2 linked regions of the Tribolium castaneum genome follow. The protein of the gene in region 2 purifies or fractionates together with the protein of the main gene of each other region. This does not show direct contact. Links are inferred from orthologs where the notes say so. Each region holds a gene or a part of one and is shown on either strand. Other genes may lie near its edges.

Region 1 (6,021 bases), on a different chromosome or scaffold from region 2:
CGTCCACTATTCAATTTACTCATAAGTGAATTGTCATTTGTTTTTATCGGCGCAGATAAATTAAGGGGGCCAGAAATTGATCTTTTTATTTATACGAACACAAAGGCCAAAATCTTAACCATTGAATAAAGACTTGGAAGCACACCAATGTCGCCAAAAATTAGAGGTCAAAACGACTTAACCCACATTAAAAAAAGCAATTAACTACACTTGTTGACCGAATTAAATTATTTTCAAAAATTCTAAGGTGTATGTTTGGTTGCCTATATAGACACAACTTTTTGTATCAGTTAGATAATTCGACTTTTGTGATTAAAAATTCCAAAAAATTTAAATGCATTGTTGCAATTCTACTATAAACTGAAATAAAACATACTTATTTTGTAATTTCCGAAATAAAGCAAAAAAGATTTTTTTTGCAAATATAATCAGGGTATTGGCAGTCCCACTTTGGTTGGGCGCTTGAATTTTTACATAAGCTTTTTTGCCCTTAAGTACAGATTCAATAATTTTTTTTAAATGTTTTTTTTTTCAAAACTGCGCCAATTTCAAATTCTCAGGGATTTTAGCCGCTTGGTATCGCCATCGACCGTCAAGTGTCAAATTCAAAATGTCGGATCGGCTTTGGTTATAATCGCTGATAAAAATAGCATTATTTGGCTATAAATAGCGTTATCACACCAGTAAAAGGTAGAAATTTATTGCCCGTGCTTGTCGGGGCCCCGCCCAGTCACAATTCGCCAAAAATCCGTATTTTTAGATGTCAGCGAGCACAAGTCCGTCGCATTACACCGAAGACGCCTTCGTGACAGATGCCAACTTCAAAGTGGAAATTAATCAAAAAATGAAAGTTCCCGACAAGATCAGCTTCAACACGGACTTGAACGGGGCCACACAGCCCCCGTGGAACCGCGACAACATCAACATGCAAGTCCCTGAGCGAATCCTCGTCGTGGGGCAACATCAGCACATTGGTGAGTTGTTTAGGTTATTTGGTGCGTCTGACTAGGATTCTAGGGACAAGGGCGCCCCCACGCGAAATTGTCTTTGACAACTCGATCCTTCCCCCAGAACCGTACCCCGGGGATGTGCGGGTTGCGACCCCGCCCAGGACTTTGACTCTGGACAAGTACCCCTTTCCCACTCTTGAGGAGATGGAGGACCCGGAACTGAACCAGATTCCGGTGGTTAAACCAAAGAAAAAACAGGCGTTTGATGATTCGGATTTGAATCTGACGATACGCGAGACTACGCCCCCGATCGGGGGCAGCGGCGAGAGGCTGACGGCCGCCGAAGAGGTGCTGCACCTCAGGCGGCAAATGGCGAAGCTCAACAGACGTGTGATGGCCTTAGAATTAGAAAACTTGAGCCGGCTCCAAAAGGAGAAGTTTCTAGTTGGTTTTGGAGTCGCTTATTTGTTGTTGAAAGTCATTATTTGGATGAATAGAGATTAGGGAGCACTAGTTTATCCCTAAGTTAGGAACAAATCGTATTGACGTTAATTAGTTCTGGTTTAAGTAACATAATTTTCCTAATTTTTCCAAGTTTTTATTAATAGTCTTGTTGTAACCGATTTTTTTCAATATAATTATCACAATTATGTAACCATTAATTTAGTCAAAGTCCATTTTTGGTTCGGCGGTTTCAGCGTCTCGACATTTCGCATTTTGAATTTCTCTTCTGATCTCTGGTGTGATAGCGTGGTGGTTTTGCTTCTTTAATAATTCTAATAAACTGTCCCTTTGCTCGCTTGAAATATCAGCTTTGTATCTTTGTACAAATGTCAGGAAAGCCTGATGCCACAAAACGGGTAATTCCCTGGAATCTCGCTCGAATCTCAAAAAGTGGAACACAACTGCGTCCACAACACGATACGGCAACGCGTATCTTTTATCGAAGAAAATACGCAAAAAAATCGAATTGGCGCCGGTGTAATCCATTTCCGCGATTTTCAAAATCGCGGCAGAAGAATGCAAAATAGGAATAGAGTTTCTTGCGACAACTGAGCCTATTATAATAGCTTCCCTGAGCGTACAATCGCCACTTTCAAGCAGTGGTAGGAGAATTCCCTTCATGAAGCCCCCAGGTTTGAACAGGGCTTTCCTCAAGGCTTGATATAAGTGGAAATTGAGTCGCTTGTATTCGGCCAAGTCGTCGCGAATTCGGGGCAACAAAACCAAATTATAGAACCTCTGAGCCATTTTTTCCTTGAGGTTTGAGGCGAAAATACGGGTGGCTTGGTACATGGCAGCAGCTGACCAACTTGGCGGATCTAAAACTTAATTAACCGCTGGGCATCAACAATGATTTTAATTACCCGTGATGTATAAGATTTGTTCCCAATTCCGCAAGTTGGGGATGATTTTGAACGCTTTCGGCAACTTGCCGCTCCTATATTTCCGCAAAACATCCCTCACCCCTTGATACATTTGTTCCACCCGTGGGTCCAACTCCTGCATTTTGACCGAGCCTTCCTCGCTAAAATGCGTCTTAACTTCGGTAAACTTCTCGGCCAAAATATCCCCCAAAGTGCGTCTCGGGGCCGGATTGCTACTCATGAACTTCTCTAAAGCTTTCTCATCCTCTTCATTGATTTCAATGTTTTCGTAAAACGTGTCCGGTTCGAGGGTGTCTTCCTCTTCCGGTTCGGAGTCATCGTCCCCCAGTTTGGACACTTTAAACTTGCTTGAACTTGCCTCGGACGGCGTGGGGCCGAAACTTGAGTCCAGCTCGCGTTGCTGCTCTCGGGCGGCTGAGAGAATCTTCCGCGAGAGGTTCGAGTCCACAAACTGGAATTTTTTATTGGTTTTAGACAATCATAAAGCGATACAAACTTGTTCATCGTCGTCTTGTCTTAGACGGATTTTGTTGCGGTTTTTCGACTTGGCAAACTTCGCGTCCTCGATGTCCTGGTCCAGGGGCACCTTGGTGCCCATCTGAGACGGCTTCAGGCGCTTTGCTTTGCCCATTATCCCTATTTGTTTACCACACGTGTCTTCAAACTATCTGGACGTAACCTAAAAGGACTTGTCAGAGGTTTGGGTTGGCGACATTGGCAATTTAAAATTAAATTGGAAAACAGCAGCATTAAGTACGAGATTGGGTCAAATCGGGTAAAATATTTTGCAAAATTAATTTTCTAAAAATTCGCTTTTTAAACTATTGCGCTATTAGTTTAAAATTCGATAAAATTAAGCAATTAGCAGGGATTTTTTTATTATCCCTAGAGGTCAAGATGGAGGACACCATCTTCAAAACTTGTGTTGTTGGTGCATAAAAGTGTGTTTATTTCGTCAAAACGGTAATTTATCACTACATTTTTTCCTAATTAAGCTTACATAATGCTTGTTCAATACTTTGTCGTTTTTTTATTTGTCTAAATCGGTGTAAAAACTGAAATATTAGCTCCCATCCTCTCGTTTAGGTGTTGGCACTTTCCCCCGCAATGAAGCCCCCGGGGTCGAGATTTTAATTAAATTGTAGCGATGCGTTACATTGGAGCTGCCTAAAGGCCCCCTTGTCAGTGTTCAAAATAATAGCAATCCCAAATTGTGCCAAAATGTTCAATAGCAGCCTTTTGTACGAAAAACGACCTTTGAAAAAGCCGAAAATCGGCCCTCCGGACGTTTACCCGCAAGAACCGAAGCAAAAAGAAGACGAGTTGACGAGTGTCAACGTTAAACATGGGTTCCTGACAATGACCCACTTAAGCGACGAATTTGGAACGGCCAGAAACTGCAATATTTCGGCAAGCAAAGTCGGGGATTATTTCAATGACATTATCAAACGCAAAGAGGAGTTGAGCATGTTGCCCGATTCCGGCAGGAAGCGGCAACAAATCAACCCCAAAGACAACTTCTGGCCCGCCACAATACGAACAAAAAATGCCATAGAACTCTGGTTTAAGGATCTAGCTGGGAACAAACCATTGATGCACTTGTCGAAAAAAGCGCCCAATTTCAACAAGAAAGAGGAGATTTTTATAATGCTGTGCGAGTATCAGGTGCCTATGATGCGGGCCGCCTGGTTTATCAAGTTGAGTTCGGCTTACACAGTTGCCGTGTCCGAGGCCAAAATCAAAAAACGGCAAATGCCAGACCCGACTACAGGTCTCTATTTTATTACTTGTATTAACTTTACACTTAACTACAATTTCTTGTAGAATGGACCGGAACGATGCTAAAATTCCTCAAAGAACAAATCCTCAAACTGCAAGACTATTACTCCCAAGGTGAAAAGCCCCCTCAAACCCCTTCTCTGACCCAGGCTGCGACCACCGAAACTGAGCAAAAACTCGCAATGCGTCATTGGATTTACTGCACACAGTTGCTCAAATACATGTATGAGGAGGGCCTCATGGACAGGCAAGAAGTCCTGACCTGGATTCTCGAACTTTTGGAAAAAATGAGGTCACAACCGTCCGATGACGGCATTTTGCGCCTTTTGATGCCTTTATGTTTGCAATATTTGGACGAATTCGTCCAATCTGAGTTGTTATCGCGACGTTTGGCGCATTTGTGTTGCAAAAAACTTGGCTACATGTTGAATAACGTCGCGGAAAATAATCTAATCACCTCGCCCCAAAGTGAGACAAAGACGGAGCAAAAAGACAACGAAAAGGAAAAGAAGGATGTGCCGGTGACCAATCCCATGCAAAGCACGCTCATGGAGTACCAAAATTGCCCACATCATCGGGATATTGGTAGGGAAAAAAATTTTTTTACCGATTTATTTTTACAAAATTTATTCTAGTGTTACAGCTGAGCACTGTTATTCAAACTATAACTCTTGAATGCCCGACGGCCCTAGTCTGGTGTGGTACTGGCGTTGGTAGTGTTTGGCACGGGTCTCCCCTAGATTTACTACCAATGGTACCATCGTCACTCCCGATGGCGGCGCGCTGCGACATGAACACCTACCGGAAACAATTGCAATTTGCCGAACATTGCATAAGAGAAAGGAGCAAAAGGGCCGAAGGCCGCTGGTGTACGGAAAAATGGCAAAATTCGTCGGCCGGTAATACAGTTAACTGTAATTAAAATTTTCTAATTTTTTGAGTAGGAACAATCACAAATCGTGTGTTGGCCGCGTTGGACGCCCTCGACCGCCACCGCTTCGACAAAATGGACTCGACCAACTCCCTTGACACTCTCTACACCAAGGTTTTTGGCGGTAACAGTGACCAGGAAAATTCCGTAGTAAAGTTATTATGTGAGTGGGCCGTTTCGCCCGAACGCACAGGTGAACACCGGGCCTTGGCGGTGGCGGCGCTTCTGGACCGCCGCCAGTCCGATTCGGCCACAAACGGGGACCAGGAAACCGCCCCCGGGGACGATAAAGACTCGAATTGTTCCGTACCAGGGGGGCCTCCAATGTTCCAACAACTGTTGATGAAGTTTTTGGATAGTGACGCTCCAGTGCCGGCACCTGATGACTGTCCGCAGAAAAAAACCGCCTTTTCGAATTTAGTTCATCTGTTTGCTGAGTTGATAAGGAGAGACGTTTTCTCACATGATGCCTACATGTGTACGTTGATTTCGAGGGGCGATTTGCTGGGGCCCGAGGAAACCACCGATGTGAGCACAAGCCACCAGTCACATCACACGAAATTAGAGGTGAGTGCGAATTAAAAGCCAATGCATTTTGCTCAAATTTTTTTATTTTATTTTGAGTTCTTATGATCATTATCAGTACAAATGATTTTAAGTCAGTATTTTTAAACTTAGGACCATTCGCACAATATGGATTTTGACGACGCGACAATTGACCACGACTTGGACAAAATCCTGCAGAACATTAAAGAGGACCAACAAAACTCCATGGACGTGCCTGACAGCCCCAAAGAGCACGACCATGGGCACCACCCGCACCAATCGTCCATCGGCCATGTGCCCATGGAGACGGACCACAATGACCATAAAGTCAAGCCTTCACGCCACCTTCTCTACACCACCCATTTCCCCTTGTACCAAGACGACCCATTCTCCCAGCACGATTGCAACCAACGACACGTCCTCCTCT
Region 2 (6,867 bases):
ATTTAAAAAAAATTAAGTTGGCATCACCACTCGTAGCTAAATCCCTAAAATTTATTAGAAATTGCCAACATTGCCAAAAGTTTGAAAAACACTTGCAATACACAACTACAACAATTATTTTCGGTTCACTTTCATAAAAACCATTGTGGTGCAAATGACTAACTTGTTATCATAACAACTCATAAAAGTTAATGCCAAAAGTACGCTATTTGCAACACAACGGTTTTTATGAAAGTGAACCGAAAGTAAATTGTTGAATCTAAATAAATGGTGACAACAAAATTTTTAATGTCGAAAACAGGTGGGGAGACTAGAAATATTAAGGAACACAAATTAAAAAAAAACTAACTTGCAAATTTCAAAAAATCTCAGGAAAAAATCTACAAATTTAGAGAATGAAATTAAGTTGGTCCAGACGTTACTAAATTCCCTAAATTTGTTAGAGTTTACCAAATAAAAAATAGAAAATAACTCATGTAATATTAAGTAAAATATTGAATTCAATGAATGTCAATGTTTTAACATCGATCCGCAAGAAACCTTTCAACCGAAAAAATAAGTCAGTGAAGGTTCATTGTCTTCTTTGTCGTTATGAAAATAAGTTGGTACCACATTTACACATTGCCAATGTCAGGAAAGCCCGCAAACAGCTTTCTACAACGCAGCAACTCTTTTTTCTGCATTATAAAATCGATAATGAAGCCGCAAAAGGTTGAAATGATCCTTATGAAGAAATTATTAAATTTAAATGTCCGCATAGATTTTTACCAACTAATGAGAGATTAAGTTAGCATTTTTCGTTACTATTAAATCCCCTAAATTTCTAAGGTACTGCCAACATAAAATGTATGAAATAAAATAAAACACTTGTAATAAACGAACTTTTATTAAACTTACGATGACCGATGAGGAGACTAAAAATGTTAAGAAATACAAATTTAAAAAAATAAAAAAATATAGACGCATCAAAGCACAAAAATCGGGAAATGTATATGAAATGAAACACTTGTTTTCTAATAGACAAACTTTTATTAAATTAAAATTAAATTATAACTCTTGAATTTCATTCCCATCCCCACAGTCCTTTGCTCTGTTTAATGGTATCGTTATTCTCCCTTCGGACCCTTGTAGTGGCGCTAGCTTCGCCCTTAGCTACACATTTCTTCCTTTGAGTCTTCTTTTCCCTACTTACGATTTGTTTTTTGACGCGACTTCTGATTTCATCTGGGTGGATCGTGGTCGCGCAAGACCTCACACTTCCACTTTCAAATCTATCAAACGAATCAATTGATTCACTATCTGATTGGGTTTCGCGATCTTGGAGTTTCAACTGATCAAAAATTGAATCGACTGTGCATTTTTCTTCAGTATCTTGTGATTCCTCTTCGTCTTCGCTCCCAGTTTCTTCATCGATACCCAATTCTCGGTTAATATCTTTAGCCATGTCTTTCGTAAACCCTGAACACAAAACCTCAGCGTCTAGAGCATCCGTTCTTTCGATATCGCTGAATTTTGGGTATAATTCGCTCTCATAACCAAATCGTTTTTTAAAGAAAGTTTTAATACAGTTAACGTCCCTATTAAAATACCTACAATTTCATTTACCGATTGGTGTACAGGGGAAAGTAGGAAAATACGAACATTTCAGCGTTTTCATGAGCTGTTGACATCATTTGAGGGAAATCAATTATTACAGGTTTCTCATCGTCTTTTATCATTATGTTAAACTCATTGAAATCACCATGAATCACTCCACTATCGGCAAACTTAACAATAAGATTCATTAATTCATCGTAAAGCGCCTCCACGTCATTTAATTCCATTACGTGACACCTAAAATTTTTTTGCCCTAAAGTAACGCAAAGTAGTTCGTAAGAACTTTGTCGGGGTCAATCCTCCATAAAGTAACCGCAATACTACGTCAAGTCACCGAAAATAGTCAGAAAAAAGTAGTACTTTTGGAGACATAAAGTTTTCAAAATTGTAAGTCATAAATTTGTAAAAATGCTTGCCGCAATCGTCCGTAAAACAACCCAAAATAGTCGGTAAAATTTGTTTTTCTATTGTCATTGTTAAAATCGTCCGTAAAGACAGTCCTTGGATACATCAAAAATTTTAAAAAATACGGGTTCAGAAAAAACGTAAGGTAACACTTCAGCACTAAAGTTATTTTTTACACTTATACAAGGTGGGTCTGCTAGAAGTATACTTTTAATATACCCCAGAAATAATAGTCACACAAATTTCCAGTTTGTTATTAAATACTTGTATACTTATTATTAATTATAAGTTCGTGGCAAAAGATTAATTTAGGAATCATTTTAGAACAAGCATTTAGTGCAAAAAATTCATAAAAAATGTTTCTAGCCCCAAAAATAATTAAATAAAAATGGAAATAGAGGTAACTTTGGGGCTATCATTATTAATATTTTTAATTAATAAATTTTAATTATCAGGAAAGGTGGATAAATTAAAAAAGCAAACGCTGATTTCTCTCCTACTATTAGTTTTTGAGATATATTAGTTTTGAGATGCTCTGAACTCAGAATTCGCTAATTTTGGGACACTCCTGTAATAAAAATACTTTAGAGTATTTAAAAATACTTTCAGCACCCATCTACGTGAGAAAATAACTTTAGTACATGTATATTGGTTAAATAAATGTCTGATTAAAGTGCCCCCTGATTTTGAAATTAAGTTGGTAATACTGAATTAGTGAGATAAAATTGTGTCAGTTGACACACATCCCAGCCAGAGATGCCACATTAGAGCATCTTTCCCAGCTCTAGGAATTTTTTAACAAGAAAAAAATTTTACATAATTTAGAAATTCTTTTAGTTTTCAGTAAAAATATCAAAACCGTAGATTTATTTCAAGTTAACATTAGGCAACGACTCTGGATACCCAGCTAAAAATAAACTGCCATTCTTGGATTTTTAATTATAAAAAAAAAGGGAAGATAATATCCTCTACCTCTTAATAATGAACGAAAACGTTATTCAAACTTGAATTTTTAATCTTTTATCTTACAGAGGCTTACTTGCTTGTAATTGTTTTTTCCCGAAAATTTGTTGACACAGATGCTCACTTTAAAAACAAGAAAAGTTTTTTTTCCAACAACGATTATTTTAGTATCATTGTTTTCATCATAAAATGTGATAAAAGGGAGACAGTAAAAGTGTAAGTACACCTAGTCTGTTTATTCTTTACATTTATTTTATTTTTAATTTATTTATTCTTTAAATTTATTTTTAAATCAATTGTTAAAGTGTTGTTATATTGGTATGAGTTATATGTTATATATGTTATATTGGTATGAGCCTCTTTCACCCACTAGTTATTTGATGATTACTAGGCTGGCAACCGTATCATTATCATTATGAATTCTTTGTCTTTTGAAATAAAATTTCCTTAACCCCGTTGTAAGTTTTCTGATATTTAACAATAAAAACTTGATTTTTTTCGATACAAGTGTTCCGAAACTAAAGGTTTTAAGGTGTTTGAGAGAATATTCACTTTGACAATTGTTATAAAAAAAAAATAAAACGAATTTACTCATCAAAAAGAAGTTAATTTATGTTATATTGTTTACGTATTATTTTTATTTGTTGTTTTTACTTTTAACAATTTTATTTTATAATTATTATGTATTCCCTAGAAATCGTCTTAATTGATACTCTTTTTACAATGTTGTCACAATAACTTTTTACCCAGTTGGACGTTTTCTTCTTTATTTACACAGTTTGAGGAATTTTGTTACTACACTTTAGGGATAAGTGTAACGTTTGAATTTGGCACTGTTGCCAACTTAATTTCAAATTCCAAAGCAACTTTGACCAGTAATTAAAATAAGTAAAAACTCACAAGGGCCGCCCTTTGACCAACTCCATGATGACACAATGTCTATTAAAATCAATGGGTTTAGGGACTGGAAACTTCCTATCATACAGCGCCTTCATGTAAGCAAATTCTTTAGTGGCTGAAATTCTTGATAAGTACAACCAAGACGCCGATTTTCTGTGCTTGTGATAATCTCGTTTATTCGTAACATTCCGGAAACACACTCGTCCCAATCTATGCAACTTCAAACAAACTTCCTCTCCTTCAGGATTTGCAACAATATAAATATTACTCTCCTTCCCCACCCCAATCTGATTTCCAAAAGAACCAATAACGTCGCGTTTTGTTAACGAATGGAGGGCCAGATAGTCATACCCCATGTTGGTCAAGCGGTAACCATCGTCTGAAATAATAAAATAAAACCTGAAGTCTGCAAAAACATTAACCCACATTTGCGCCCCCGCTCGTAACTCAATAATCCGTGCTTGCACAAATCACGCAGCAATTTGTGAACACCGCCGTGCTGCAAATTCGCAATGGACGCAGCCATGGGGCCCGGAACCAATTCGTGGTTTTTCATGCCCATCTCAATCTGAAAAGTGAGGTTAGGAAAATAAATTCAAGATAAAACGCCAAATTACCGCTGTTAGAACCCGGAAATCCTCACCGGTGAGGTAACGCATTATTGTTACGTTCAATTTCCCCATTTCTAACACTTAAATTAACTATTTTTCACGCAATTGCATCAACACATTTGCAAGGTTTGAGATTGTTTCTAGTTCCAAATCAAAAATCACCAAGAGGTTTTGGGGGCAAAATTTAAAGAACAAATTTAAATAAAACATTTTTTACTCTAAATTGGCCTAGGACTAGTTATTAATCACTCCATGATACAAATGTGGTAATAACACGTTAATATGTACAAATATAAATAACAATCAGTCACGTTTTGAGCATTTATTTCCTTGAGTAATGTCCATTCCCTCGGACTTCCGTGGCCGAGTACGCCCTGTACATCTTTTCAGCCCCTCGTACGTTAACAGGGGGCGACCTGCGCACCCCGTTGCTCACCCCGTTAGGGGTGGCCCCATAAACGTATTTCTCCGATTGGGGCAACTGCACGTTAATTTTGTGGTGCTTCACTGTGCTACTATCACTGGAATCAAGTGATGACAGTGAGTTCACCACTTGTAAGTTCTGGAATGGCAACGCTTTGCTTATTGAAAACTCGTCCTTCGGCTTGTCTTTCGTCTTGATGATTTGACTGCGAGACACGTTTTTCTCCTTTTGCTCTTCAAGGGGGATTCGTGGGTCAATCGGGGGGATATAAAAGTCCGGAACTTTGCGAAGACTGAGCGTTGAGGCTCTCCTTCGGCTGGTTTTGTCCGTTTCGAGGCCGTTGGTTTTGGGGGCTGAGACAGGTCCGCGCGACTCGTTTCGCTCCCCCTCAGGGCCGATTTCTTCATCGGACAGTGCTTCGATTTCTTCTTCGTTTTCCTCCTCAATGACACTCGACTGGATCCACTGGCGGATTCGGTCCTTTTTGGCCGTTCGGTCAACGGTTGTCTCAAGTCCGTACTGGGTTAGGGTGAAGAGTAGTTTATTTTTTTCCTCCGGACTGCTGTGGAAGCTGTACATTGAGGGGCAAAGCCCCTCCTCTTCATCCGGCAACTCGCTCGTTTTCTCCATCCCGCCTTTGGACATCCAGCGGTCTTCCAAATATCGATGGACTTCGGCAAGCCCCGCTGGTCTTTTCTCGGGTTTTGGTTCTAAATATTTTTTGAAGAGTTTTTGGGCTTTGGACGACACCAGTTTAAACAATTTTGGCTGTCTTTTCAGTGGAATAGTGCTGCTTTGCCAGGAAATATACCTGGAGTACCGGGGGTCGTCAGGGGCGGCTTTCTGCCATGGAAGACACCCGGTCAAACACACAAATATCACAATTCCAAACTGCCAAACGTCGTGACTAGTGTTGGTCCTGTGAGAAAAATGTAAATTTAGAAAAATGGAGTAATTTAAGTAATTAAAGAAATTTTGGACAAATCAGGAAAATTAGAAGAAACCAGGCGATATCTATTGCCAATCAACATTTTTTCTTAGTATTTTCGACAGTAAATTTTATAATTTTTCAGATATAAATACAGAAATAGTTATTTACGTAACAAGTCCGCAAAATAGAGTTTTAGCGGACGAATCGTATTAAGAACAAGGCGACAAAGGAGGAATGTTACAGATAAATAATTTGTTATATTAATTTGTTTTAGATATTTTGTTAAGATATGTTGTAACTCTATTTAGGCAATTATAAAAAAATGTATAAAAACATCACACCTTATAAAATAAGACAAGAATAAAAATAAAAAACCTCATGTGTAAAAATAACACTGACAATTTAACTTTTTTTATTTTATTATTAAAATTTTGTTTTATTGTTTTTATTTTTTATATTTACCAGAAAGATAGAGTGGTGAGCTATCTAAAACATCAAAAAAAAGATGTTGGTTGTGATTACAAAAAATTAAAAATGAAGACATTTCTGAAAAACCAATGATGTCATACACTTTAAAGTAGTGCCAAAATGTGATTAGTATTTAGCTATTTATAAAAATAACAATTAACCTATTTGAGGATTTTTTTGAAAAATGAAGCACAACAAAGATATGATTTTATCAGTAATTTAAATTGTCGAGAGTGCTCCAAATATTACAAACACAAAACAGAATACTCATAAAATTGTCCGGGGCACAGTAAAACGATAATCCACAAAAGGGCACCACCAAAAGGAAAAACACACTTAAAAAAAATTAATCCAAAACCAAAGGAAAAGGAAAACTAATTGTTAACTAACAATTAGAAGTTATTATTATGAAACACAAATGACAAGATAAATGAAAGTTTGCTATTAAATATAGTCTGTTTTTGTTATAAACAAATGTCGGTGTCGAAATCAGGCAGAATTTTCGTTGTATAGCGTTATATAATTGAAGAAATTTATTTAACCAACTAAGGGAACTAAGGGAAGGTTTA

What was found. Proteins that work in one complex are often made in the same cells at the same time.
Region 1: the proteins of RIOK2 (region 2) and bys purify together in Homo sapiens (affinity purification with mass spectrometry; 3 studies listed by BioGRID and IntAct, with this or other methods). This does not show direct contact. The link is inferred for Tribolium castaneum from reciprocal best matches to the Homo sapiens genes RIOK2 and BYSL.

Annotation. Positions count from the first base shown.
Region 1 is NC_087398.1:4,028,707-4,034,727, reverse strand, and holds bys (bystin), read right to left. Parts: upstream 3,056-6,021; 5' UTR 2,970-3,055; coding exon 2,835-2,969; intron 2,790-2,834; coding exon 2,318-2,789; intron 2,273-2,317; coding exon 1,614-2,272; 3' UTR 1,527-1,613; downstream 1-1,526. Other genes in the region: Tango11 (transport and Golgi organization protein 11), read left to right, coding at 761-974, 1,018-1,454; kto (mediator of RNA polymerase II transcription subunit 12), read left to right, coding at 3,560-4,109, 4,163-4,702, 4,753-5,016, 5,062-5,615, 5,727-6,021. UniProt on the Homo sapiens protein: Required for processing of 20S pre-rRNA precursor and biogenesis of 40S ribosomal subunits. May be required for trophinin-dependent regulation of cell adhesion during implantation of human embryos.
Region 2 is NC_087394.1:23,766,583-23,773,449, forward strand, and holds RIOK2 (serine/threonine-protein kinase RIO2), read right to left. Parts: upstream 4,640-6,867; 5' UTR 4,548-4,639; coding exon 4,482-4,547; intron 4,433-4,481; coding exon 4,291-4,432; intron 4,244-4,290; coding exon 3,865-4,243; intron 1,834-3,864; coding exon 1,642-1,833; intron 1,590-1,641; coding exon 1,064-1,589; 3' UTR 1,007-1,063; downstream 1-1,006. Other genes in the region: serine/threonine-protein kinase SBK1, read right to left, coding at 4,798-5,818. UniProt on the Homo sapiens protein: Serine/threonine-protein kinase involved in the final steps of cytoplasmic maturation of the 40S ribosomal subunit. Involved in export of the 40S pre-ribosome particles (pre-40S) from the nucleus to the cytoplasm.